4 linked regions of the Lepisosteus oculatus genome follow. The protein of the gene in region 1 purifies or fractionates together with the protein of each later gene. This does not show direct contact. Links are inferred from orthologs where the notes say so. Each region holds a gene or a part of one and is shown in the gene's direction. Other genes may lie near its edges. The genes, in order: actr3b, arpc5lb, arpc2 and arpc1a.

The links.
Region 2: the proteins of actr3b (region 1) and arpc5lb purify together in Homo sapiens (affinity purification with mass spectrometry; 3 studies listed by BioGRID and IntAct, counting the BioPlex papers as one, with this or other methods). This does not show direct contact. The link is inferred for Lepisosteus oculatus from reciprocal best matches to the Homo sapiens genes ACTR3B and ARPC5L.
Region 3: the proteins of actr3b (region 1) and arpc2 purify together in Homo sapiens (affinity purification with mass spectrometry; 6 studies listed by BioGRID and IntAct, counting the BioPlex papers as one, with this or other methods). This does not show direct contact. The link is inferred for Lepisosteus oculatus from reciprocal best matches to the Homo sapiens genes ACTR3B and ARPC2.
Region 4: the proteins of actr3b (region 1) and arpc1a purify together in Homo sapiens (affinity purification with mass spectrometry; 5 studies listed by BioGRID and IntAct, counting the BioPlex papers as one, with this or other methods). This does not show direct contact. The link is inferred for Lepisosteus oculatus from reciprocal best matches to the Homo sapiens genes ACTR3B and ARPC1A.

The regions. Positions count from the first base shown.
Region 1 is NC_090701.1:10,984,423-10,991,601, forward strand, and holds the start of actr3b (actin-related protein 3B), read left to right. Parts: upstream 1-4,166; 5' UTR 4,167-4,327; coding exon 4,328-4,371; intron 4,372-6,769; coding exon 6,770-6,825; intron 6,826-7,179. UniProt on the Homo sapiens protein: Plays a role in the organization of the actin cytoskeleton.
Region 2 is NC_090719.1:13,112,057-13,119,705, reverse strand, and holds the start of arpc5lb (actin related protein 2/3 complex, subunit 5-like, b), read left to right. Parts: upstream 1-4,628; 5' UTR 4,629-4,901; coding exon 4,902-5,042; intron 5,043-6,953; exon of another isoform or gene 6,954-6,972; intron 6,973-7,649. Other genes in the region: rpl35 (large ribosomal subunit protein uL29), read right to left, coding at 429-565, 1,998-2,000. UniProt on the Homo sapiens protein: May function as component of the Arp2/3 complex which is involved in regulation of actin polymerization and together with an activating nucleation-promoting factor (NPF) mediates the formation of branched actin networks.
Region 3 is NC_090707.1:22,142,365-22,149,496, reverse strand, and holds the start of arpc2 (actin-related protein 2/3 complex subunit 2), read left to right. Parts: upstream 1-4,130; 5' UTR 4,131-4,295; coding exon 4,296-4,369; intron 4,370-6,458; coding exon 6,459-6,493; intron 6,494-7,132. UniProt on the Homo sapiens protein: Actin-binding component of the Arp2/3 complex, a multiprotein complex that mediates actin polymerization upon stimulation by nucleation-promoting factor (NPF).
Region 4 is NC_090714.1:10,186,160-10,193,074, reverse strand, and holds the start of arpc1a (actin-related protein 2/3 complex subunit 1A), read left to right. Parts: upstream 1-3,915; 5' UTR 3,916-4,114; intron 4,115-5,538; 5' UTR 5,539-5,575; coding exon 5,576-5,639; intron 5,640-5,783; coding exon 5,784-5,888; intron 5,889-6,314; coding exon 6,315-6,543; intron 6,544-6,915. UniProt on the Homo sapiens protein: Probably functions as a component of the Arp2/3 complex which is involved in regulation of actin polymerization and together with an activating nucleation-promoting factor (NPF) mediates the formation of branched actin networks.

The DNA.
Region 1 (7,179 bases):
GTACACTGGAGAGACTTTGATTGTTTTAAGCACTAAATCACTTCATTAGTGAGAAGGTTGATTAGGCACAAGTGATGAGGTGATTTAATGCCAAGCCGAATGATCTGGTAATTGAGGCGTACAACAGAGCAGTCGATGTGGAAGTTCTGTAGGTTCGTTAGAAGTCTGTAATGGCTCTATTGAGTATTTATGGGATGAAAAAAATACTCCTTTGCACTATCACTTTTTGTCTGTAGAGTGTGTGGTTTTCAAGATCACAACATACTGCTCACATTCTCCACGATCGAGCACGGAAAAATGTGGTAAATGTGGTAAAATCATTAAAATCATTAAAATAACCTTGTCTACTTCACAATTACACTGCCCACAGAAACAATAGTGAATGTAAAATAGTGCGCTTTACTTATAGTGTGAAAGAACGTTATTCAAAACATAAAACAAAACAAAGCTCACCTGAGCACTAACCGAAATCTCTTTGAATCCCTCAGTATAATTAGAAAGTGGGTTAGCTACACTGTCTACTGGCATGAATCAGTTTCCACTCATTTTTGGTTTCTTTTGTTTTCTTGGTCTCTTTAGTTTAACCCCTTTTCACACTGATGCAGCACATTCAGCAAATTCTCTGTTTGGTGATGGCAGATGTGGAACTATGCAAGTTCCCACTTTACGATGCTTAAATTGTCACTAGACCAGTTTAATTTAACCAGCGGGGCAGATGACAGCAGTGTCATTCCTTGCAAACTTCTGGGGAATGTAATCCAGTTAATATTGCCCTTCTACAACATGTATGTACTGTATAAATACTGTATGTACAGCTTTATCCAACATGGAAAGTCATACATAAGAAAACTTAAAAGGAATCTGACCCTGTCTTGCCTACTATGTAAATGCTGTGATGTCCTTTATAATGTTAGAAGAGTTTTAGCATAGGAGCCCAACAAAGTTGTTTGTATATACTGTATATGTATCTGCAATATAATACAATAATAATGTTTCAAACTTCTCTGATTATAATATACATACAGGTAGGGAAAATGCACTAATTAATTATTAACTTATCAGTCACCAATGTTTTGAAATTCAAAAGCATCTGAGTGTGTATGGGTTGCATGCTAATCTTACATCTGAAGAAAGTTTCATAATGGGGCACCAGATAATTTTTTTACTCAATTGTAGACTTTAATGAACCATTCAGGATTTTTAGCTCTCAGAGCTACTATAAATATTAGTGTTTTGCAGAACTTGTCTTTACTTGAAAGTCCTGTTTGGCAGGGGCTGGGAAAGAGAGTGATAAAGATGTTTTGAGAATTGAAACAAAAACAGTTACACAGAAAACATGGATACTTTATTGGGTCACTAAACATCTGATAAAACATATCTTTTAAAAAAAGTGACACGTTTTAAAGTGGTTCAATAACAAGAAAGGTATATAAAAGCATAAATCTTTCCAGTGACATACAACAGATATCGACATGATGTTTCAGTGGATTTATAATTTTTTTTCTGTTCAGGAGTCTTTATAAAGGAGGTCTACTGGGATCTGTCGATTTCATAAAAGTTGAATGAGATTTTTTTAAACAAAATTAATTTACTGGTTAATGTCATGATACATTTTACTGTATTATGATACATTACTTCAATACTTAGCTGTTATGAATCATTGGAATTTTGTAGATGTAGTTTATCCTATGTTACTTTGGACAAATGTTTTCATAGGAGCAGTTTTGAGGTAAATAGCATTTCTGACCATTCTTTAAATGTAAGAACATTACAGGTTCTGCACAATTGTCCCATTTCTCAAACAAAGTGCAGTGTGATTTAGCAGACAGGACCTACTGTAATACTAACCCATTACTTTGATATAAACAACAATAATGAAAGTATGATATGATCAATTCTTTAAAAAAAATTGTCAGAAGGGCCTAAGATTAAAATATTTTAATTCTACATGTATCAAATCATCCATTGATTTTCTAACTGCTTTATCCAATATACTGTACAGCATCGAGGGAGAACCAAAGCCTACAAGTAAAATCAGTAGTTATAAAAATAAACTAAAACGTCATTTAATAACAAGTCTTGTGTAGACTGCAGATTACAATACCAATTTTAATATTAAGATGTTTCTTTTTTAATACAGCAAGAATAGGTTCTGCAACAGTAATTTTGGTAGCATCCCCATCTAGTGGTGAATCATGACAGTTGTCATTGAATATTGAAGAATTTAGCTTAAACTATTGCTGTATAAAAACAAATTAAACAACAGTGTTGAAAATAGGCAGTCAGTGTCAGTGGTGAAGCCAAATTTTAGAGCCTAGGAGTCCAAAATGCAATGCATATGGAGATAACAGGAGAAAGCTGTATTATTCTTGATCCCTACAGCCACAAATAGTCTGTGTGCACCAATGTGCTTGGGAGGTTTGTGTTGGCTAGTTATGAATTTACTGTTATATTCATTGTGGCAGGCAAGATTAAACGACTGAAAATTCTGCTGATTGTGTGATTCTGTGATCCTCAGCTCTGGAATATACTGTAAATGTCAATCTATAAAGCTGATGGGTTTCTTTAAGCCATTGTTATTATTTTTTTACTTTTGGAAGGGCCTTATATAAATGATTTAAGTAGAGCTGAGTTGGGTAAAATTAGCAAACCCATTCACAGTTTTACTTAAAAGTTAAATTTTTTACATGTAAAAATATGAAATATGTACATATGATTTATTTTTCCAAAAGGTCATGAGCTTGTGGTTCATTAAAAATATATATCTGGAGCGTTTAGAGCCAACAAAGAAAGACCAAATATTTTATATTATAGGATGGTCTGTCCAGAAAAAAGGCAACTATATTTTCTGATAATGTATTTGAAATTCAATTTATGAGAAGACATACAATTTCACCACATCTCTCACACACAATAAAAATGTAGACGACTACAGATGTAAATGAATTCCTTCTCAGATTTACAATGGTTATATCTGTTCAGGGTTGCGGGAAAGGTGTAATCCTTCACCCACCTCCAAACCTTCTGTATATATTTAATTGCTTCCAATTTTGTGACCTGAAAAAATACAGTACAGACTAAATATATTACTCATTCACATCCTGTGAGTGTGCCAAGTTCAATAAAACAATAACACATGTGAGGTAAGCAACATTTCAAATTAACTCCTGTCATAACCTGAGTTTTCCAGGAGATGAATAATGTAAAAAAATATACACCAGCCCTTTGCACCATTGAAATCTGCATACTTGTTCATACAGTATTTAGTTAGAAGCCTGCAAACCTTAGATGGCTCAGAAATCACCCATTTTGAATTATATGGATTTTTTTTACATTTAGCACTTTTAAAAATGGCATGTCTGAATGAATTATCTTTGTTTTGAGCCCATATCTTTGTTTTTTCCATACACAATAGTTGCTCTTATACAACAAACACTAATTTTGCTATTATAAATCTGTGTCTTGTTTTCATAGCAGGCACCTCATACTGTATAAAGCCCTGTTCAGTGCCTGTGCAAATAAAAGCGGAAATTATAAAATAAAAATACAACGACAGTATTTTCTCACGGTTGTCACCCCCTAAAAATTGCAATTCCAATAGCATTAGACAATCTGACTTACAAATTGTTTTATCATACGTGTCGACTGACACCCACTGCTGTTGACAAGATACAAGAAAAGCTTTTCTGAACAATGTGCTTTTTTTTTTGCAATCCTACACCCTTAGTGCCTGCCCATACTGTATCTTGAAACTAAACTTTTAACTTCACTGTGTGACTATAAACGCCGTGACTGTGCTGTATTTTGCAATTTAAACATTTCTTCTTAGTATTGCACTGTAACTATGCCTACAGACATCCAAGTACATAATGTTCAATGTACAGTATTAACTAAATCGCCACGGAAAAACTAAACGAACTAAACACATGGAGCAAATAAACACGTCACGGTCCAAGCACGTACTACTCTTTCACAACAATATGAAGCTGATTTATAGATGCTAGGTATTAAAATTTTAGAACTAAAAAGAAATAACGTGTTTGATTGTCTATGCAGCTACAGCATGATCCCAAGCAGGCCATACCCGTTGCCATAGGGACAGCTCTCCCTGTTTGTTTCGGATTAATATCCAGGAACGACTCCATGTTTTCCACCTTTGACTCGGGAAGTATTCATGCTGTCAGCATTACGGAGGAGTAACGGTACATGGGGGTAATCTGGCATTGCAGTGTCCTGTAGTACGGTTTCCTTAATTTAGAAGTCAAAATACATATTTTGTTATTTATTCATGTTACAGTAAAACAGGGATATTTGTCTAACCCAAGCAATGGCTGTGCATTTACCTCCTTGCGTTATTGACTGTGGAACTGGGTGAGCTAGCGATTGTATTTAATTTTTGTTTTTTAATGATCAGTTTACTTATTGCACATACTTAAAATTGAACAAACACCTCTACGGCACACGTACTACATAAACACGTTTTACACTGAGGTTTTCTTAATGAGTGTTGTCTAAAATGACGGTCACTGACATTTCTTTTGGTTATTATAGTGTCATTACACGGGTGCACGTCGTTTAATGACAGGTGCGGATTGCTGTCATTAAACGATTTATTATATTTAATAATTTTTTACTTGTGTAAAAACTAGGTTTTGTCATAATGAAATTGTTGTCAAGCTTGTTTTCAAATACACTATCTTAAATTAACAGTGGGGACCTGTAGAATAGAAATGACACTCGTTTATGGTAGATAGTAATCGATTATGCATATAGTGTACAGTAGTGTGTTAGCTTTTTACAAACCATGGATACTCCGTTATACAGAAGGTCTGTGGATTACAAGGCTAACAGGTTAAAGTTAAACTTGACATTTATCACATTGTAGGGAAAGACAAGAATAAATGCTATTTTTGGACGCATATATCATAATATGATAATCTTGCCTGTGGTTTGAATTACATTATCAACTTGTTCTATATACCAAGTAAAATATGAAAATAAATAATAGCTATTATTGTATGGTAGCTATGATACTGAGGGTAAAATAATTCACATACAAATGTTAACACTTTTGTACTGCAGTTGTAAATTTAAACAACAATTAAATTGGTATACAATGGTAGAAAAATAATATATCTAAAGCAAAGTAATCACCAAATATTGCTAAATGAATTCTGAATATGAAATATCTCTGAAATACTTAAGTAGTACTTTTGTATATAATCTTGGGCTCAGCTTTTCTCACAATAATAGTGGTCATATTTTGTTTGTTCAGGTTTAACTAAAGTGGCACAAATAAATGAAATTCAAAATAAAAGGTTTAGTGTTTTTAATACCGTATGCACATCTGTTGATAGGCCTATATACTGTACTGTATGGCCCCCTTTCTTTGCAAAATTAAGATATTTTACAGTCTGTGCGTGGCTCAGATTCTGTAATAGTGATTGGTACTTTTTTTTTGTAACATAAAATGTTCTAAAAGTTCAACACAGCATTTAGCTGAGAACTGATTTTACCCTTTTCATTTATGATTTCGTGGAGGGATGGGTAATATTTACCATACAAAATGAAAAAGTGGAAACATGAAATTCAGGTTTCTAATCTGCTTCCCTGTTGATGAAATGTCTCTAAAATGGGTGTGTCATTTGTCATGGACTGGGCCATATCATTAGTTTGCTGTGACTGAGATTCCTTAAAGTCACAACTTTAAGCGGAACACAATTCACCAGGTATTGCAGAGATTGGTAGGTTTGGGACAGCTGGGTTATTGTAGCATATTAGTGACCACAGTGACGATCTGGGTGCCTTTGAGTTTACAGTGGTTTTAGCCTCATCTTTCCTCCATTCTATGCAAATGGTGTTGTAGGAACTTCAGAGCCTCAGAACTCCAACGGTGCATCCCTGAGAGGAAAACACGGTCACTACTCAATCTTAATGTGTTGATTAGTAGGCTGTAATCAACTGTGAAAGCTGACTACTGTAGATGTAGCAGTTTGGGATTCTAGACAGTGGCAAGGGGACTTATCAAACATGTACTGTACAGTATGTTAACCTCTATGTCCTTTGATGTATTATCCTTTTCAAACCTCATGTCTGTAACAAAAGAAATATTTTATGTAGCTGGTTATGTCATATTTTTAAAAGACTGTATCTGTGTATATCTTTGGTTGCAATGAATAATCGGTCAAGATTTTTGGATACTGCATAAACTTTCAGATGGGTGCATTATTTTCCTAACGTTGTTAGTGTATCGTAAGGGAATTAGAATGTTAAATTTGCACTACAGTATCTTGTTAGTGCATTGGTAGGCCTCCGTATTTAAATGTAAAAAGACCTGAAAACTTGTAATTATCATGACATATATTGATGAGGAATGGAGAAGTTTCAATTTTGATGTTCTTTAGTACATTTCATCGTATTGATCAAGGCTGCTTACAAATTTGAGTTTAGTCATGCAAGTGATGTTCATTTTGTCTCTAAGAACTACAACATTTTCTTTCCATTAAAGTATATGATATTGGTTTTTGTATTTCTCACATTTAGGCTTACAACACAGACAATGCAATGAACAGATGAACAGGTGCTTGTGAAATACAAATTGCTTTCTGTTGGCACCACTTTAAATCACTGAATTTGACAAACAGGCATTTGCAATAATAATGCAGAATTATATATTTGGGTCTCACTCAATGCAGGCCTATATTTTGTGTTTTTCAAAGGGGTTTTAAACAAAAATAAAACTAACACTAAGTCTGCTCTGTACCTACAGATACACAAAGATTGGCTATGCTGGGAATACTGAACCACAGTTCATCATACCTTCATGTGAGTATTAATTAAGCAGTTAAGGCCATGAAAATATAGCCAGCTTTTATAGTACTGAGTACTGAGATTCAAAGGAAACAACTGCAACAGATTCTCAAAGTTATTATTAGGAAAATAACCTTCTGCTTTGTAGCATTTTCTGAAAACACACACATATGGAGTGTTACATTTCTTTTGATGCTCAGTACACAGTGATACACTTTCTTACATTAGGTCAAAAACTATGATGTAGAAAAAGCAGTTGAATAATACTCCAAGAAATAACTAGGTGGTGCACAAAAATCGAATGTACATTATTTAAAAAACACAAATAGGTGCATTATGAAAAAAGTCATAATTTCTTTTCGAATACGC
Region 2 (7,649 bases), on another chromosome or scaffold:
GAAAAACCTTGTTTAAATCTAAAAAAAGATTTAGTCAATATAAGTGGGTTTGAACTGGGACTTGAAATCAGAAGCAAATATGACAAGGAAAGGAAACAGGACAAGATGAGCCAACACTGAGTGCCAGTCCTGGGGACTCTCACTGAGCAACAGTTTAGTTCATCTGAGATTGCAAAACACAGATGGCACACAGCATCATCTTCTCTGTTACAGACTAATTTTGAGTCCCTTTTGCTTTGCTATGACACCAGTACATCCTGCACGGGAACCTTTAGTTTAACATGATTTTGAGCAAAACGCCAAGAAATAAGGGGTCTCAGTCTCCTCGTCTTTGAATCTCGTTAAAAACTGCCGGGTCACATCGACATAAAGCCTTTCGGCCGCACGGTGCGCGGCGACGACGACCCCCATCGGCCTCCGGGACTTACATCTTGGAGAGCTTGGAAGCAGCTCCCCCGGTGACCTTGGCAACGCGGAGCTGGGAGAGTTCCACCTTCAGGTCATCCAGCTGTTTCAGCAGCTCTTCCTTCTTCTTCCCGCGCAGGTCTCGGGCCTTGATCTTCGCCTGGGCACCGGGACAGACGGCGTTAACACACAGCCCCGCGCGTCCCCATCATCTCCTGCGCGATCAGCCTCAGAAGCTAAAACTACAAAACCTTCTAGGCCAACACCCGGGCTGCGGAACCATGACACCCTGCTCATCTCTTGTGACCCCAGCTCAGGTGTTAGAGCCATCAGGCACCGGTTAGAAAAGAACACGACCACTGTTCACAGCATTTCAATACACTAATTGATACTTTTTGCATTACAATACAAAAAGTTGGCTGGGCCACCCAGTGGTACACCGCCCAGGCTCCTTAGAAGTAAGAGTGTTTGCAGGGTTTTTCCAATAAACTGTGGGGCAACAGGTACAGGTTTATTCCACACTGAAAGGAAAAGAGACAACATTTCAGCTCCACAGCCAAAATGTTCTCTTTTCCTTTCGGCGTGGAATAAACCCGGACCTGTTCCTTTGCAGCCTGTGCAAGCCGACACAGCTGGGACTGGAACTATTTCTATGGACTGGATTGCTCTCTCCAAAAGCAGATGCCTATCCAGATGCAAGGCGTTCCTGTTGGACCCACAGAACTGACACAAGTAGACACTCCAATATTTTATTGTCCCCAGTGAAGAAATGTGGATCTGTATCTGCTTTTACGTGCATGATGACAAAAAAAAAACGTCTGTTCCACTAGCGTGAATTGAACTTTCCAAAGGTGAGCACACAAGCCTACCTACTAAAACTCCAATCAATACAACTACAAACAAGCGGCATTATCATTGTAAATACAACTAAGTGCTTTCTTGCAGCAGAACAAGTTCCCCCCATAAAAATGTATGAGAATGTTTTAGAGGGAATCTTCTTTCTTTACACTGGCCTGCCCTGCACTTTTGTTTTTTAATAGGTTTCTGAAAGCAGGTCCTCAGCTTCGATTCAGAGCCGCACAAAACGCAGCCAGTTTTATATAGGTTGGCCAACGAAGACTAAATATCAGAAAAAAAAAAACAAACGAATAAAGCCTTCCGACCAAGAATTTTAGGAACCCCCATATTCCAATACGATCATCGCAAAAAGTTATCAAACAAACCCCGCACCACATGCACAAGAGCTGTCCATACAGCGAGATCAGATGATGCTTAAAACAAAACGGTTAACAGTATATCAATGCTATTCTATAAAAGAAGCGCTGGAGGGGAAAACGCTACGATTTATTAAGCCATGCGTTATTCTAGCCACGTAAAAGAACCCGACAGCCATAACTAGTTTATAAAGTGCCCAGTGAGAATCAATCTATTAAACGTATTATATAGAGGGAAAGTCGTGTTTCAACTGGTTTAATAACCCATCTGACTTTTAACTAAGGAGTTTACACACGCTGGCATGTGTTCGTTGTACATTATAACGTTTATAAAGCGAAGGATTAAACGAGATTGGATTTGGAAGAACGGTATCTCACCATCGTCAGTGCTGGCTGTCACAGGAAAGGAAGGCCAGAGGGTCACGGCGAAGCTCTACCGGGTTACGGGCGCTACCAACGTATTTCACAAAAGGGGGGGGGGGGGGGGGAGGCTATAGGAATGTTCCATCTGTCACTCGAATTTTAAAACCTTTCCCTTATTAACCAATGTAACATAATCGTTTACTTTAGTAAAGACGCACATAATGTTGATTGTATTGTTGCAGACGCTACCGACCGCTAATCTGTATATATATAAATCACGTTGTTGTTAGATGCAAAAGCTGACGTTTAATAAGGTTAAATGTCTCCCTAATTTATAGATACTTGTAGAGGTTACCATGTAGGTTACAAAAAATAAGTTAAAAATTTGAACACATTGGAGAGAACTATAAAATGTTTTCTGATTGTAATATCCCTGATACGTAACATATTTTCCTTTTGAAATTAGGATACTGTGAACACTCTTAAAATAAAATGTAGATTAGTGGTCTTCTGTTGAGACGTTTCAGAAGAAAATACCATTCCTCTCTATAGTTATAGAGCTATAGCATATGTGTTGTCATTTATATCACATTACAAAATACATCATTCACGTCCATTTAAATCAACACAATACAATAACCATAACAAAGCACGAAAAGTAAAAGCTGACTCGTATCTTAGCTGTTAAAATGAAATGCCCTATAACCTGCGAGGTAACCTACAACCGGGCTTCATGTGGGAAAATTAATTCAGAAGGTATTAATTTATATTCCGTACGCTCGCCATTAAAAGAGGTCTCCTAAGCGAAGTCATAAATTAGGTTCTTAATTTTATTAATAGATGAGCTATCGTGAGAGGACGTGTCTTTAATAATATACCTATATTATGCTACATTTCATTCATTCACATTCCAAACACAACCACAGCCCACACATCACAATAATAAATAACACTGACAATATTATTCAATAATATTTAATCACATTTAAAACTAAACAATCACGTTTACTACTGTGAAGTGACACAAGTAATAACTTAAAAAAAAACGACACAAATTCTTAAGGAAAGCCTCCATTTTGTGGAAGGCGCACACTTTCATTATTCATTCATCTTTTACATATGCGTCAAGATCAAGGAAACGACCAAGGGATGCAACTGCGTGTTTCTTTAAAGAGTCACTGTCTGATGAGGAGTGGCAGGCGAACTGAACCTCTTATAAAAAAATAAAGCATCGGTTTCCTTTAGCCAGTGGCACTGATGTTCATTCAACATCCTTTAGGGCCACCATGTATTCTGGTTTTCACTCCAGTGACCCATAAATGGCTTAATAGGAATCAATTGTTCACTATATTGGTCAATTTTCCTCCAATTCCGGGTTGCAGGGAAGCCAAAAGCTAAACTGGCGAGCAACAGGCACAAGGCAGGATACACCCTGGACAGGATGCCAGTCCATGGCAAGACAGACACACAGACATGCACAAACTCACACCGGGGCCATTTTCCCCTGAGGCCAATAAATCGACCAGTGTCTCTTTGGACTGTGGGAGGAAACTGGAGGAAAAACCACAGGAACAGTGGGAGAACACGCAAACTCCACACAGACAGCACCCCGAAGGTCCAGGATTGAACCTAGCTGGAGGATATTCTGTTTTCAATGGAGGGGTAAATTAGGCAATTAAGCACCCAGACCCAAGATCTGGAACCCCTGCTCTAGACTGAGGTAATTCAAGATATTGGTCTCACACGCTTATTACTGCCACTCGTTATTAGAGCCGAGTCGAAAAAAGCGACCACAGCTCGGGTAATACCTAATAGAAGTTTGGGTCTTCAGAAAATCAATTATTTCGAACTGTATTTAGTTTTCCTCTTTCGTAAAACCAACATGGCACACTTACATTATTGATAAATATCGCCGGAAAACGTTCTTATACACAGCACCATTTTGTATGTTTAAAATGAGGGAACATATTTGATATTTTTCATAAACAGGAAACGAGCCTTTGAACTGGGGAAAGGGGTGTATGGAGTTTGTTTAACAGCGGAGCCATAATAACAACAACAACTTTGATTTATTTGAAAACAATATATAAAAAACAGCTCTACGCCCTCCGAACAACTCAAAATAATGTCCCCAGAGGATGGAACCGCTTCAGGAGGAAATCACTCAAAAGTTGCGTCAATTTCTCATTCCAAAAACGACTCTGTACGACTCATATGCAACTATTACTGGATTCAACTCACATCTTCCCAAATGGCAGATCGCCACCTTGGAAGAAAATCTTAAAATCCATATAGATTTTTTTTTAAATAATTCAACCCCAGAAGAATGTTCTTTTTAAAAAAAAAAAAAAAGATTCATCGATTGACATTCCCGGTCTCACAAAGTCACAACCATTCGTTGTGAAGCTGTATTTCATTGCATTACATTGCACCTCTGTGCAGCTGAAGTGAACGACTGAAGTCCCGGACTGTAGAGCGACGGGATAAAACACCTGCACACAGAAGCCCCGGCGCGACACCGACGCGCCCTGTGCGCCCGGCTCCGACCCTCAGCCGGCAAGACGGTGTGCCACCACCCACCTGAGCGGAGCAGCCGGAGGCTGGCTGCATCAGGTCTGGGTTTTGTCGCTGTGAGGTAGTTCCGTTTCCGCCAGTCTAGAGAGCTGCCATATTTTTGTCTCTCTAGAGCCCAGGGAGGGAGGGAGAGAGAGAGAAAAGGAGGGGAGGGAGTGAAAGACAGAGGTAGAGAGTGCAGAAGGCAGGCAGGCAGGCAGGACTTGGGCTACATGAGTGTCGCTGCGCTTTCGGCCCGTTGCGAAAAGTACAGTATTTGGACACCACCCCCCACCCCCCTTCCCTCTCCTCCCCGCCTGCCCCCCGGACCCGGCCAGCAGCAGGACTGGGCCAGCAGCAGCCCCGATGGCGAAAAACACCCTGTCGTCCCGGTTCCGGAAGGTGGACATCGATGAGTACGACGAGAACAAATTCGTGGACGAGCAGGAGGAGGCGGCCGAGCAGCAGGGGCCGGACACGGCCGAGGTGGACAGCCTCATCAGGCAATATCCTTTTTTTATTCCCCTCTTTTCCCTGGGACGCGAATGGAAGCGCATTGGGTTTCAAATGACGTGCAGATGGGTATGCATCATCTCCATAGACTAACACGGGTGATACTGTGCGTGTCACGGGGGTCGGGGTGGGCTGTATTGAAAGGGGGTTACCCGAAAGGTACCGGTCAAGCCTCTGAAAGTTGCCGGCATGGGCTTTTTATTGCAACTTTTCCAAAAGCAATCACGACCTCGGCAGCTGCTGCGGCCGGAATTGAATTCACGGAAAAAACGGAGCTCCACATGAGCTGCGACCAGAAAGCGTTGGGGGGGGGGAGTCTGTTTTTTTTTTTTAAAAAGAAAACGGGGGGACAGTTTATACATGCGTTAAAGGATCTGCCCTCAAAACGCATGCGACATGAATCCCCGAATGACCCCCCCCCGATGTTTTCATTGACAAGATGAGGCTGGCTGGAAACTTGGCGAGTGCGAAATCATTTCGCCCAAATGCGTCTCTGCACTTTTGACAGGCTGAAACGTTAAGGTGGCGTTAGCCCAAGAAACAGGCATGGTCTTGGAGGGGGGGACGGCCGTAGACGTCTTCAGCTGGTCAGGTTAGTTATTAATCGCCTCCCCTCCTGGTTGTGAAGCTAAGTGGGCAAAACCGGCGGAGGTTTTCGCCCCGACCAAGCTGTGCTGTTTCACTGGCCCGATGCGCCCTTGCTCGCTGCTTCTGCCCCAATTCACTTTATCGCACAGGTGCCCCGAGCAGGAGACCAGAAATATCAGCCACCACAACCCCCAGACCGGTTCGTGTAGCTAGAGAGAAGCACATAGCCTGTGTCGTGGGTCTGGGCTGCCCACTCGCTGTGTGTATTTTTAGAGGAGGGGTGAGACACTTCACCGCCGCCGTCTTTATCTTTGGGGGTTGCGCTTTAAATAACCTCCCGGGATCGTCCCCCCCGTCGGATGACCGCCCAGTAGACCACTTTCTTGCGCCTATTTCCGAGTTTAGTGGATTAATTCATCTTTCTCATCTAGAACCTCACCAGTACTTGGGGGGGGGGTGACCTCAATTTACAAGTGGGACCTTCTTGCAGTACATACCATGGTACACCCCCATGGATAACTTTTATTTTTCATGTTCACGTTTTATAGACAGGAATGTACCTCGGCGGTTTTTGGTCTTTCGCCTCCACAGTGTGACTTCAGGGTTAAGAATAACTGGATCGAGAGCACACGGGGAAGCTGGTGCAGTCTGTCGTGCGAAAAACGCCTGTACGTTGGCAGTATTTTGCATGCATATCGCCTGCAAGTACCCAGGACATAATACGTTTCTCCTGATCGACCGTTTTAAGATTTGCAAATAATTTGGATGTCTTTAGGTGCTGGTTTTTAGATTTCCAGGTCTTTAATAACTATTTGAACGGGTTCCGAGCGCCCTGTCAGCTTTGCTCTGCAGACCGAGGGCTGTTTTGGAGCAGCCTCGCGTTAGTCATGCTAATTAAAGGCGCACCGACGGCGAGTCTGATGGGCCTGTCAGCTGCACCCTGGTTAGCGAATGTACTGCGGGCGACATTCAGGGCAAAAGCATAAGTGCACTTGAAGGAAATCAGGGGGAGATTGTACTTGATCCTTACTCTGTTTGAAGCTCAGGTACGGTATTACGGCACCCCCTGAAGAATTAGGCTTGTAGCGTCTCCCCAGCAGATGCAGGATTATACTAGTTTAATAGCCCCAGACCGAAGATCTCCCCCCCCCCCTCTCAGATCCCAAATCCTTCCCTCCACTTGGCTGTGTCCAGGTGCCAGGAGCTGCAGGGGGAACAAAGCCATCTGCTCCGAATTGCGCCAGCAGTCGGCTGTTTGGATCCGTCTTTTTCGTACGGCGCAGGGGAGGTAAGTTGGCTGTGCAGGTTGGACGTGGCGCCCTTGTTCTGGGGTGGACTGCAATCACAAAGGAGTAAATAATGTTTTTCCCCCTCAAGCCTGCTTTACCAGTATTTTAAAGCGAAGGTGTTTTGTCACTAAACGGTCTGGCTTCTAAACCGCTTTGTCCAGTATGGGGTTGCGGGGGGTGGGAGCTGGAGTCTAACCCACCAAACATGACCTTCAATTCCTGGCCTTACTGGTGGTTCTTTACGGACAGGGTTAAGGAACTGAATGGGTTTGGTCCTCCCTAATTTAGACGGAAACAGTAGTGCGCTGGATTTGGCAGTTCAAATTCTAGGGGTATCACCTGTCGGGAAGTTCTTTGAGTTGACTGCTACACAAGGACTCGGATGGAAAAGAAACGTGTATCTTTAGCATTTCAAACGACCTCATTTTCTGGGAACAAAAATCAAGGGTGTCCAATCATAAGTTCCCAGCCATATCGTCAAATCCTGATCCCTTGGAGTTCTTCAGGAGATGGACAGATGAGAATGGGGGAGTAAATGTCTCGTATAAGGAGCACAGATGAACTGGGCTTAGTGGTTCCTCTGATTTCTATCTGCTCGTGTGCTCTCCTGTGCGGTGCTACGGTCGACCTGTTATGAAGAGGATGTGGCTGAGCTGTGAGACCAGAGGAGGCTTTGTAACCCATTACTGCTCCTTCTGCCTGACAAGAGCTGATCTGAGCATGA
Region 3 (7,132 bases), on another chromosome or scaffold:
AGCATGAGGACTTTGAAGTCAACACAAGACTTGATAGTCAACACAAGCCTCCTTACTGTCCCCCAAGCCCACCTACATTGTATGGGTGACAGGGTGTTCTCCTGTTTGCCCCCAAGCTCTGGAATTCTCTCCCCAAGGATATCAGAGAGTCACCTTCTCTAAACTCCTTCAATCCAAACTCAAAACTTTCTTCTTTAGAAGAGCCTTTACGTAACTTCCATTCTTTACCCCTCTGCTCCTACTATACTTAGTAGCACCATCCACGGTCTCCTCTGTGCATTGTAATTGTGTTTTATCTTGTGTATTCTTTTAATTTATTGTTGTTGTCATTCTGTAAAGCGCTTTAAGAAGCCACCTTTAAAGGTGCTATATAAAATAAAGTTTATTATTATTATTATTATTATTATTATTATTATTATTATTATTATTATTATTATTATTATTATTGATAGGAAGCCAGTGCAAGGACTAGGACAGGAGTAATGTGATTGTTTGCACAACACCTGGTCAGGATCCCGGTTGCCCAAATTCTGGACATACTGATTAGATAGTGGTTTTATTTACCCCAGCAAAAAGGGCATCGCAGTAATCAATGCTGTAAAAGATCAATTACGAATCTGTAGAAGACTTATTTGTACGGATGCTGTCTTGATTTACCAGTGTTAAATATTAGTCTATTAGTTTTTCACATCTAGAAATTTGTTTTCTTTTTATGATGGATCATATTGTACAGCAATGTGACATGCACTGATATACAGTATCATGATTTAAAATAAATCATCAGAAAAACTCTTGGCTTCAGTCTTGCAATTTCAGATCACTCTGTACCTTTTAGGAATTCAGACAGGTATGTTCCATGTGCCTTGATTACTACAGCTAAACTTGTTCCTGCCTGTCCTGAAATTCCATAAAAACAGAAAAAGGAACAGAAGATGGGTTATGAGCTGGGCAGAGGATGAATGCAGTAGAGTGGGAGACATGAAACATGTTTATTGTAGCAAGAGAAATGGTAGCAAAACAAATCTACATTAATTAAAAACATAATCTACTCTGTAATTTAATGTTAAAGAGAAATAAATCAGAACTTCTTCAATTTTCATCTGATGGCTTTTCCATCCTGTTTCTTAGAACAGTTCTGCATTTGACAATTATACAGTGCAACAGCATTAGAAGAAAAAGGTCACCAATAAGACTTAATTTAAATTATGCATCACACTAATGCTCCTTATTAATGTATATTTCATGTCATAATATTTTGCAATGGGGCATTTTCTCCAATTGATTTGTTTTATAAATAGAACTGTCACTGCTCCTCGAAGGAGATAATTAAATTATATACCTAAAATTAGCATTTATGAGAACACATAATTAAAACTAAACAAGTACTAGCTTTAATTTCTAATTACCTAGCTATTTGTGCAAGTGAAGAGACCTCTACTAATACCATGCATTGTAAAACCTTTTAAAGACAAGTGTTATTAAGGCAGACCTGCAAGAAAAAAACTTGCTCTAGCAAAGTGCACCATATATTCTGAAAGAATTCTGAAACTGCCATTGTTAAAATGTGTTAATGATATCATTTGAATAGATAAACCCAACACGCAAAAGTCTCTTAAGTTGTCCATTTACAATATGTGACAAATAGGGAAATTCATACAATGAATTTCAGTTACACATTGCTATTAAAGGTGCAATATTTCTAGACTCAGCAATTTACCTACACAATACAGTACAAAAACATTATATTCTTAGCAATATATACAACACAACTCCATAACAAAAAAGAAATGCAACCTCACCTCACTAACCTGCTCTTACAGTATCTATTATAAGGAACAAGTAATAGGTTTATTCCATGCTGAAAAAAAAAGAAGAAAGAAAACACAACGTTTAGGCCGTTGAGCCTTCTTCAGATGTGAATATGCTTTTATATTATGGTTCAGATGGTGTGTCTATAAGCTAAGCTGAGTGGTAGTAAATAGCTGATTGATTAGTATTTTTATTAATGACATATACTGTAAGCAAGACCTAAGTTATATACAGGTATACAAGGTGATTTAAAAAAAAAATCTTATGTCTTGTTTATATATGGGACTTTTTACTCAGGACACCACTGCACTCCCACTTCCCTGGAAGAGATTTAAGGAAATACAAATTATTGAGAATGCCATGTATTGTCTCTGTTAAAAGCTTTTATAACTTTTACAAGCAGGAATTTCTAAACAGAATACTAAAGATATAGAGAGAGAGGCATAAAACAGAAAGGGGAAGTGCAGGAATTGTTAAACGAGAAAGTAGAAAACAATGTCTCAATATCAAGTTTCAAATCTTACATTCAGAGCTTGTGAACTCTGCATTATGAAAGCCTTTCCAGGGAAACTCCTGTGTTTAATCAGCAGTTAATGAATGGTAAGGAGCTTTAAGAAGGACAAACAATGCAGGTAGTGTGAAAATATTTAAAAATAGTTAATTTGGAAATATACATTATGTAAATTATAAAATCAATATAATATTAAATAAAAATTAAATGTATTATGTTGTGCCTTTCTTTATATTTAATTTATAGTATGATAATAAATTAAATTATATTACACAATAATTTATATTGTAGTTATTTGCTTCTGCCTCAAAGCACTTAGATCCTAAGTTTGAGTTTGCATGCTGTCCCACATTCTAAAGACATTATGGCTAACCCATTTGTTGTCACTAAATGGTCCTCATGCATATGTGTGTGTGTATGGGCAGGCATCCCATCCAGAGGGAAACCCTGCCTTGGATCTTCCGCCTTTGAGTGATGTTAGTAATAATTGGCTTTCTGATCATTGATGGATGAAGGCACTACCTTCTGAAAAATGACAAATATTTTGATGAGATCTCCTATTTGTGTTCCCTGCACAGATAAACCATCTATTTATTTTCTAACTGCTTCTTCCAGTTCAGGGTTGAGGGAAAGCTGGAACCTATCTTGGCAAACAATGCACACAAGTCAGGGCACTCTGGACAGGAGACCAGTCCATCACAGAACAGACATACTGTACAAACACATTCACACTTACACCAAGAGCTGTTTTTTTTCCCAGAAGCCAATTAATCTACTAGTATATTTTTAAACTATGGAATGAAACCAGCCACACAAATAGCAGGAGAACGTTCAAACTCCACACAGATGGCACCTTGGTCCTGAATTGACCCCAGGGCCATAGCACTGCAAGGCAGCAGTGCTAACCACGGTGCCACCATGTTGTCCATACACAGACCATGCCAAAATGTACTAATAGTATGTATTACTGTAAAAATATTTCATACAAAATTGAAATTATTTTCATTTTAAAAATGGGATTATGGCAGACTTTAAAGCTTCCTTTTTGCTGAATAATGTTTGCATTATGTGTTTTTGTCTTGCAAATACTAAACATGTTTTGGGGAATGAGTGACAATTTACTTTTCAAATTATGAGTTAGTATCTCTTTTTCTGTTTTTTTTAAGGCTTTAGTTGAGCATTAGGTCTCAAGGGCATTAAATCAGTTATTGTGAACAAAACCAGTCTCTATTTTAGTGTCTGCTTGACTCAAGTGATTCATTGAAGCACAGAATAAGCAGTTGTTTCATAGATTCTTAAGGCATATGAATAGAAATCCTCCCATCTTGTGATAACCAAATATTCAGTTTAAAATTACAGTTCTCAGTAAAGCCAGCTCAATACTAGCCAGGTAACGCGCAGACAGTAAAAAGCTATATATGCTGTAGAAGAGTCATATATGTTATGGAAGAGAAATACTTGTTTATAAAAGCCTGTGCAAAAAGCACATATGTGTCCACTGGTTGAAGCAAATGAGCAGAATCTATTACACATTCAACGTCTCCAGTAACTCAAAGGCTTCTTTGTATGGGCCCTCGGTACAGTATGTGATATTTTAAGCTTTTTCGGTTTTGTTTTATCTCAACCTTTAACAGGTATTCATACACAGTACAATAAGTACGAATAGATAACTGGGGTTATACAACAGAATATTTTTATTGCACATACACTTATTTTAATTTAAATTATGTTAATTCGGGGATAAAAACACATTCAGTCATCCTGCTGCAAATTGTTTTACTACAGGCATAGTTCCGGACAACCTCACTGGAGGTCCTTGGAAGACAAGCGGAAGTGCCTGGGCGGAACAGCCTTGCAGGGACAGAGAGAATAAGAAAGATTGCGGAGAAGAAAACGAAAATATTGCAATTTAATTAAAAGCATTTTTTTTAAAGCACGTCTTATATTACGATTTGGGAATTCATTTTCAATCGCCATGATTCTTCTGGAAATCAACAACCGTATTATAGAGGAGACGTTGAGTCTGAAATTCGAGAGTGCGTCCAATGGGTAAGAAAATGTAAATTAAAAATTAATAATAAAATGCGTTGTCTATTAAAGATATACAGTCTGATCGTGCCGTGTTTCTTAAATGAATCTTAAAATACTAGGCTAAACGCAGCGGCCTTGCTGGGAATGTTCGTAAGTAATAACTGGGGTGTGTCTTTTTTATCTTTGTTACAGGACAGGAGTGAAGACTATCGTTTAAGATATAATCTATTTAAAAGTGGTCTAATGTCAAGAAATAATGAGAGTTCACACTCCTGCAGTTTACTTAATGACATTAACTGTCGCTGGTTGCTGTAGTAGTAATAGTCGAGATGCAATAAGTACTTCAACATCCGGCCTAAGTTAGAAAGCGGAAAATAAAGTTTAAGCCTACTGTTGCTCTAACTGATGACTATAAGTAATGAGAGCATTTTACCCTCTTCTGTATATAAATACAAAGACGTATTGTTGTATTCTTCAGGATTTGTAGATTAGGAGAGCTTTGAATCGCAACAGTGACACCTCGTTACAGAGGTAAAGCTGCAGTGACAGCAAAACTGACACCTCATTAAGACGAGACGGGTCTAACACCACCTAACAACACAACACCTGTCTACATATTACTTTACATCTCATAATTATCATTGTCACTCATTGTTTTTTTTTATCGTCGGAATTCGTACAGTTAGTCTCATGATCGCTTTTAACGTATGACTTCCGCATTTAATGAATTGGCAACAGGCGCAGTTTTACATATTTGTGGTCACTTGGGTCGAGCTTTTTTCGAGCTTGGAATTCTTTTTTATTTTATTTTTGTAATTTCTTTCATAAATTATCGTCAAATTTGCCACTTGCTTGGTGGAAGCCCCCTTCTTTGCCTATGCACTTCCGCATTCCGGAGTCCCCTTTCAAGTCTAGGCAGGGGTAGTCAAGCCGGCGAGCAGCACATGCAGTAGCGAATACCAAAGTGCTTCACCTAGAGGAGAGCACCTCTAATCCGCCTTCATCCCCCGCTGAAGGCACGGGGAAATGTAGAGGGGATAGTGATTATCTGCTGCCATACTGAGACTTTGGCTTGAAAATTAAGTGTTCGTGGTATAAAAAAATTAAGATCACCGTAGAAAAACAATGCAGGCCATAAAGTCATATATTTCATGCGTTATCTGGTTTGATTTTTGTTAGTGCATGGTGCACAGCAAAAACCTTATCGTTGCTCAAAATACCGAAGTCTTTTGTAACGGTATAGTGTGTGAAGTGTGTTGCGGATATTTTGTATTTCTGGTATCGCTGAATTTTATTTAGTTGGAAATCTTATGAATGGTGTGTTCCTGGAAACCTTTTGATTATCTTGCAGAGACTTAGTTGCTTTTCTTTCACTGGGAATGCTGTTTAGAACACAAGGTAATGTGTTCCTTGGCAGTCACTGGTTCACTCTTGTGGGGATGGAGAGGAAGTCTACATATCTTCTGTAATGATGCTGTTCAGGTGAAATTCTGTTGCAGCAAGTGTAATTACAAACAATAAACTGCATGTGGAAATAATGCCTTTGAAAAGAAAAATACAATAAATCTGTTTCAAAGAAATAAATGGTTAGTGCTTTAGTTGTAATTTAACTAGATGTAGTTTTTAACATATTTGTTTAGAAATATTTTTAAAAATTGAGTTTCCTGCTTTTTTTGTAACCTTCTTGCACTATGGTAGACTGAGAAATCCAGTTTAGAACAAATTGAACCAACTCAATCTAAGAAGCTAAATAATTCTACTTTCTGATTTTTTTTTTATGGTAGGAGGTAGCTAAAGCATTATTGTTTAATAAAACAACTTAAAAACATTTACAGATGATGACCTGGGAGCATCCCAGGAGAACAGTCTCCATTCTAAAGAAACATGCCAAAATATATGCTAGGGGCCAGAAAAAAAAAATTAAAAGTGACTGTACTGCAATTATCGTGATACTTAAAAGGACAGTTAATACTTCTACCACATTTTTTAAAATGACTCACCCTTGATACGAGCTTTTGAGTTTGCAGTCTATACGTTTCCCTCACACACATTAGCACAGAGTCTCTATTGTTAACGTAACTGATATTATACTTCTGTTTTTTTTCAGGAACAAACCTGAGGCAGTAGAAGTAACATTTGCGGGTAAGTGCAGTTTGGTTCAACATATATAACCTTTGTCTTATGTAGTGAAACTTTTTAAACCTAAAGTACTCTTTGTATTTTATTTTTCCTCTAACAAAAAAAAAAATCCCCATTTCTCATTTGTCCAGTGACACCAAGACACATTATTTATAAACTCTTATAAATGGTGCATGTTGTCCATTAGAAAATGATCCCTTATTTAATGTGGTTCTATGTCTGGAATACGATGTTATTTATTCACATGTAAGAATATAAGAAAGGTTGCACACAAGCAGAAGCCCTGTAGCCTATCTCGCCAGTTTAATAGTTTAGAAGAGAAGTAAATTCTAACATTTTCTCCAGCTGCTTTTTGAAGGAGACTTTTTGAGGCTCGGCCACTTGACTGGAAAGTATCTTCGAGACACCAGCAACTCTTTGTGTAAAGAAGTGTTTCCTCTTCTCCTTTCTAAACAATTATTTTATTTCCCAGTTATGTCTCCCCCTTTTTGTTTGCAGTTGAGTTTGTAGTAGTCCCTCTGGGTATAGCTTATCTTTACCTCTTTTGGTTTATATCAGCTATAACCTCTCAAGCCTCATGCAGCATTGGAAAATGCAGCAATTTTAGTAGAATAAACATTCTGTTCTTTTTGATTTCGCCTA
Region 4 (6,915 bases), on another chromosome or scaffold:
TGCCTGCTGCATAGACTTGTGTCGTGATGATGGGATTGGATTGGGAAATGCTGCACTTTCATATCAAGGATGGAGAGTGCACCTCTGTATATCACCCTGCTACTGAATGTACATGAACAAGCTGCTTCAAAGTCTTAAAGCATAGTTGTAATAAAGCAATGGATGTAATTAAAAAAGGTTGTCAGTGTGTTTTTGAGCCTTTTATAAGTCATAGCTAACAGCGGTTTTGTATTAAAAAAGGAGGTGATTATTTTTACATGCTTTTCATATTATTTGTACTCTACAAGGGCAAGATTCAGAAGATTTAATTCTATATACAACTTACTTCATTTTTGTCCTGAAGGGAGATCACCTATAGTAAATCTAAATGTTCTTTCTATTTAACTTAACTTTCCATTTATTCTGAGAATTTCACGATTTCTTTATATTCCTGGTAGGCAGTCTATCTGTACTAGCTTGGCTGAGGCACATCTTATGTACCTGTGCTGCCAGGCACAGTGCTGCATCTTAAGTCCAGTTACTGTATATAGTCCATTAGGGTTCCACCTAGGACTGAAGAGATTAATGAGGGGAGCAGGCAACCTGTCTGCTCTACTTCACAGTGCTGATGTCCAGTTTATTTTGACTTGTGATCTTTTACTCTCATATTATTTAAACACAGTGTCCTCCAAAAATATTTAGACAACAAATTATAAACTGGAATTTACACTATAATATGTGTAGATTATGCCGGTTTAGGGACGCCAAATATGTTAGAAAAGTGGCTCTCCGAAGGCACCAGTTCTGTAGGGTTTGGGCATTTACTGAGACAATTTTTAATTGTAGCAGTAAATCACAAAGTTGATTCTTTTGGTGGCTTTAGAATCCAACCATGCGATATAACTCAAACAACGCACACACACAGGTACTAATACACGAGGATACATTTATTAATACATAGAATATGCATATAAACCTAACAGATCTTATCGAGAGGGTTATCAGAATACAAAAGGTATATTCGGTCAGTTACAAAGAGTTACACATCAAGAGGAAATACGTTCAGTATATCATTCATTAAGACCGTTTCGTAAAGTGAACTTGGTTACAACTTCTACATTAGATACTCAAACAAGTACATAACTCTTAGGAATTAAATTGATATCAACTGGTTTGGATAACAATTGAATTCTCGAGCTGTAATGCATTGAAGTTGAATACTCTTCCAATCTCTGGGGATTCAGATCTCCTGCGGGCACAAAGAAACAGTTGCAGGCTGTTGCTGTCCAATCTGCGCTCTCTGGCTCGGTGCCAGGCTGTGCTGTGCGGCTTGCGACGGTGCGCTGCTGATGCTCACTGACCGGCTAGTTAGTGTTGGCTTTAACTAGCACAGTTTGTGCACAGGAGAAAAGATGACTGTGGGTCCCAGCAAGTCAGGAAGAGGACCGGTTCGTTCCTGATGAAGCGCTAGTTCTGAATAGTGATTCAGCTTTCCACAGTTCCGACCTGTTCACGAGGCCTGCTGCTGGTTACTCTCTGGCAACCTCCACTCTAGACTCTTAGAACAAAGGAAAGTTCTGGCACTCGGACACACTGGCCGTTCCGTGGTTGTCCGGGCTGAGTCTCAGGATGGTCAGGAGGCGCGCTGCGAGAATGTCCTGCCCTTGGGATTCTCCTTTGAATTCCTTCTGAATCTTGTCTGAATCTTGTTGAATCTCTCAGGCTCTCTGTGTTGCCTGTTTTTACCTGGAGGAACTTCAGCTCATTCATTGGCTGAAAGTTCCATGGGCATCAGAGTCCCACGTGGGTTACTCGGCCCTACCGGTCCCTGATTGGTTGATCAAGGTGAGATATGAGTCACTTAGTCCTGACACTTAGGAATGCAATCCAGATGTCCAACTCGCACTCCCTAGACAGATAGGCGCCAATGGGTGACCATTGATCATGATAGCCAGGCTTAGCTAAGTGCATCCCCCTTTGGGAGCTGTCCTTGGACCTTAAATCACCTTGCATGAATGGTTTCTCTGTGGCTGCACCACAGAGATGAACAGAGAAATGAGGCCTAATTTGGGAAAGCTCAGAAACACTTAATTCTGCCTTATTATTAAGCCTCGCCGCTACATATGTAATAAGCATTTCTCATTATGATTGATAATTGCAGCTCCTAAGTATTTTATTTTTTATAAGGTGACTTCAGTTCTACTTTCAAACAATTACACATATTGGTAGTGTTGAACCTATTTAGTTTGAAGGAGTAAACACTTGGGAACAATCACATGACAGGTGTCTCTAGTTGGCCAGGTGTTTGTTGTTGGTAATTAGGAACTCATAAAAGATCTGTGAACATCCTATCAACTTGTCTCACTTTGACTTTAGTGTTTGGAGTCTGTGGGGGAAAGCCAAAATGAACACCATAGAAGATTCTATTAAAGGAAAGTAGATTATTAAGAAGAATAGCCCAGAAACTTGACAAACTAAAATAAATACTTTGGAATACATGGAAGAAGAAAGTAACCAGGTATAATTGTCAATCAGTTAAGACTGGATTGGGGGAAAACTCTTAAACACCTGTCAGTCACCAACAACCTCCAGGGCTCAATGATGAAGGTATCAAAATCCATGGCTCATAATAGACTGATCAGAGATCAGAATTCCAAAGGCTACACCTTAAGATGTAAACCTCTCATTAGCACCAAGAACAGAGATAAGCCAGGATTTGTTAATAGGATACATACTGGAATTGGATAACTTTTCAATTATTCTGGTAAAGGTGAAGGTGTGGAGAAAGAATACAACTACAGATGCTCTAATCAACACCACCTCTTCTGTGAAGCATAGTGGAGGTAATGTCATGGCCTGGACATAAATGACCACCTCTGTGTAATAAAATAAAACTTTATATTGTGCCTTTAAAAGTGGATTCTCAAAGTGCAGTGAGAGGTGATACAACAGTTAAACTGTTACAATGAGGGTTTAAAATACAGTAGGAAAGCAAAGGGGTAGACACAGAACCAGTTAAATAAAAGCCTTTATAAAACAAAATTGAGTCTAGATTTGAAAGAGCTCAAGGGAAGTGACTCTCTGACATCTATAGGGATCTAATTTCAGAGCTCTGGGGCATAGCAGTAGAAGGCTTTGTGACTCAGAGTGAAGACCAGATTGGGGGACAGACATGAGACCAGAATTAGATGAATGGAGGTTGTTAGGTTGTTAGTAGGATGATAGTAACTCAGACAGCTACTGAGGTGCCAAGCCATGTAGAACCTTATAGGTGAGCAGTAGGACTTTGAAGTATACCTGATAGGAAGTGAGTCTGAGGACTTCAGGATAGGAGTAATGTGATCACTTGCGCTAGACCCGGTAAGGATTCTGGCTGTTGAAGCTTGGACATAGTGTAATTTCTTCACTGCGGATTTACTGTAGATACCCCAGTAAAAATGGAAGTGTTGACCAGCTTTAGCGATATTTCTGAGGTGGAAGAATGTTTTACAATATGCTGCACATGTGGGTCAACCCTGGATAAATATCACCCCCATATTCTTCACTTTAGGTTGAAACTCGGCACAGTACCTTCCACAGATAACCTTACTGCATTGGCTTTACAAAGCTTAAAGCCAGCATAGTGTAATAGGACCTGGTGTTACAACCTATGGCTGTTGCATTGCCGTGGATGCTATGTAAAGCAGTTTGAGACCTTTTGGAATGAAAAAAATGCAAGGAATGAAAGTAAATAGAATTAATAATGACTATAATTAACAGCAGCCAATAATTGTAAACATTTTAATTTTTGATCTTGGTCTTGTTCATCCTTTTAATTCTGTATTTTAAATTAATTTCATTGGGTGTTTGCCGTTTTGTAAAATTGTACATGTATCTCCTCCCGTTTGTCGTCACCGTGCTATGTGGAGAGTGATAGGGCTACTCCTGAGTTTTCTTTGTGCTGTGATTGGGCTGCAAGCTTGCTGTTAAATCTGGGAACAGTGGGTCCTTGTTATTTCCTGGGTTGTCTTGCAGTTCCGAGTTTATCGGAGTGAATTCGTGTCGACTGCCCAGAGTCCACGAATTCAGGTCCGCGCCGACCACAGAAACCGAAGCCTCTTACCCGAAAACCACCATCGAAACAAGATTCTGAAACGTAGGTAGAACATGTACTCAAGATTACAGGCCTACCGGGAGACCGGCTTGCTCGACCTGTGCTATGCTGCTTACAATCACCAGGGAGCAGGCTTCCGCTCTTGGGAAAAGCCGGTGTTTGGAAATTAGAAGGGTGAAAGAAGAGGCCTTGTTTGATTAATGACTTGGATTTTATGTATCTTGTATATATCTGTGATGGTTAAGTCCGTGTTCTCTATGGTTATTTTTCAAAGGCAGTTTTTCATTCTAAATACCTAATCTTATTTTCTAAGTTACCGAAGTCTTCCTTAACGATCCGGTTAATTACACCTAGTATGACAGCTCTTTGAATGAAATATTTTAGTTTATTAATAGAAATTAATAATTAAAACAGTTTCGTTTTTTAAAATATTATGTCTCCGTAAATGCAAATTATGATTTTTAAGGCTTGTAAACGCGTTGTATATGAAATTTAAACCTTACAACCGCTGTCTGTGTTTGAAAATTACACAGACATTGCACTGAAGCAATATAGAATTAGAAGAAGTCTAAAACAATATTCATTTTATAATAATTATTTTAAGGCGTTTTCCTTTTTGGAAATACATAAGTGACTGCAGCAGTGATGGAAAAACGTCACACCCACGAATCCGTGTAAAATTCCAGATACCGGCGGTTTATTCTCTTCCGGGTTCTTATGAAGGTACCTATTGCTACACGTCCAGTGATCTTTAGGTTTCTTTTTTTAATGCTTTTGAAAGCTTTGATTTCTTTTTCCTTGTCTACAGTAATATGTATAATAAACTAAATACATTAGGAAAATGTAGCAAATGGTGTGTAAATTCAACGATAAAATAATTATAGGTGGGATTTTCCTAGGTATAGGTGCTTTTCCTTAAAGATACATATTGTACCTGTTTTCTGTCCTTATTGTTTGTTTCGTGCAGTCGTGGATATTATCGCTGCATTGAGATTTACAGACAGGAGTTTCCTAATGCGATATTTGACCGCATATCTCTTATGTGAAAACAGCAAAAGCACAAAGATATAACAACGCACTGGGTGGTTAAATCGGGTACCCTGAGAAATGTTAAACAGGTGGAAGAACGAGCAATTACTGTCCACTGGTAATTCTGATAGTTAAAAATGAGACAAAATAACGTCCTACAATGCATTGATCTGTTTTTTAAGTTTTAATAAACTGAACCATTCTAAAATAGTATCAAAGGGATGATTAAATTAGCAAAGGAGGTAAGAAGGCTGCGATAAAAGAAACGATTTGTGTGTGCGCCTTTATCATGTGGTCTGATCATTGTGCAAGCAAGTACCTCTCTTTTCGGTTGGTAAAACTTCCCACAACTTTGCATATAGGATTGCTCTGTTTGAAGGTGTCATCATGATTGATTACTCCAGTTTTACAATGGATGTTTTTTTTATTTCCTGCAGAATTTGGTCAGCTGCCTGAGGAATCTCTTGGATCATAATGTCGCTGCACCAGTTTCTTTTGGAACCCATCACCTGCCATGCCTGGAACAAGGACAGGACTCGTGAGTGACCCCTATAGGGCGTATGAAGAATATTCCTGATAACTTGTAATGTTAGGAGCCCATTTTCCTACCTACGTTATTTTCATGTTGTACAGTGTTGAATATGGGTAATCTGTGCTTTCTTTTTCTATATTTCTGTTTCAGAAATTGCTATAAGCCCCAACAATCACGAAGTTCACATTTACAAGAAGAATGGAAACCAGTGGGCAAAAATTCATGAATTGAAGGAGCACAATGGGCACATTACAGGTATATTTCAAGTGGTTGACTTTTCTGTCACAACAGCCTCTTAGTTTTAGTTGTGAGGGTGGACTTGCAGCCAGTCTATTATGTTTTCACTGCTTTCTGAATTACTAAAATATATCTGGTTAATCACCATTGGTGCTTAGTGGTTCTTATTTGCACAGGATTTAAGTAAAGCATTTCATGGCTAGAGCCTTGATCTCCACAGAGGATAGGAAATGCCATCTTGCATTAATAGTCTTTTAATTCGTAGAAAAGGTGAGAATATTTGGTAGTTAAACAGGAAGTTTGGTTTTTACATCAGTCACCCATGAGAGATTTTTCTTTTCTTTTTAAGAGGAAAGAATTAGAACTTATTACATATCGGACACTGGAAAATTAAACTGAATGCAGCTGTACAAATTACATTTTTATGCTCTTCTCTCTGTGCAGGAATTGACTGGGCCCCTAAGAGCGATCGTATTGTTACGTGTGGTGCAGACCGCAATGCCTATGTCTGGAGTCAGAAGGATGGGGACGGAGTGTGGAAACCGACACTGGTGATTCTGAGGATTAACCGAGCAGCCACGTTTGTGAAGTGGTCACCGCTGGAGAACAAGTTTGCCGTGGGCAGTGGAGCTCGGCTCATCTCCGTGTGCTACTTTGAGTCTGAAAACGATTGGTAAACCTCACTGGAGTGGATGAATGTCAGCTTTCCCTGATTAGATGCTGCCCAGTTCTTTATTTTGGACTTTCACAATTTTGCTGATTGATCCATAAATTCAGAGGTGTCATGCTGTATCTGTGTGGTAATGAAAGTTACCCTCTGAATCTGTAGATCACGGTCAGGTTGCCTCTTAGAAACTACCAGATTACTGTAAAAAAAAAAGTTTCCAGGATGTCGATAGACTGTTGCTCCGAAGAAATCACAATCAGATCTGAGTGTTGGTTCTAATCTGCCAGTTTACTCTTAGCAGTAGCTTAAGCATTTGGTTGTACAATATAGATTTTCTCTTCCCTTAATTTAACTAGCATTTTCTGTAGTGTAGAGAGC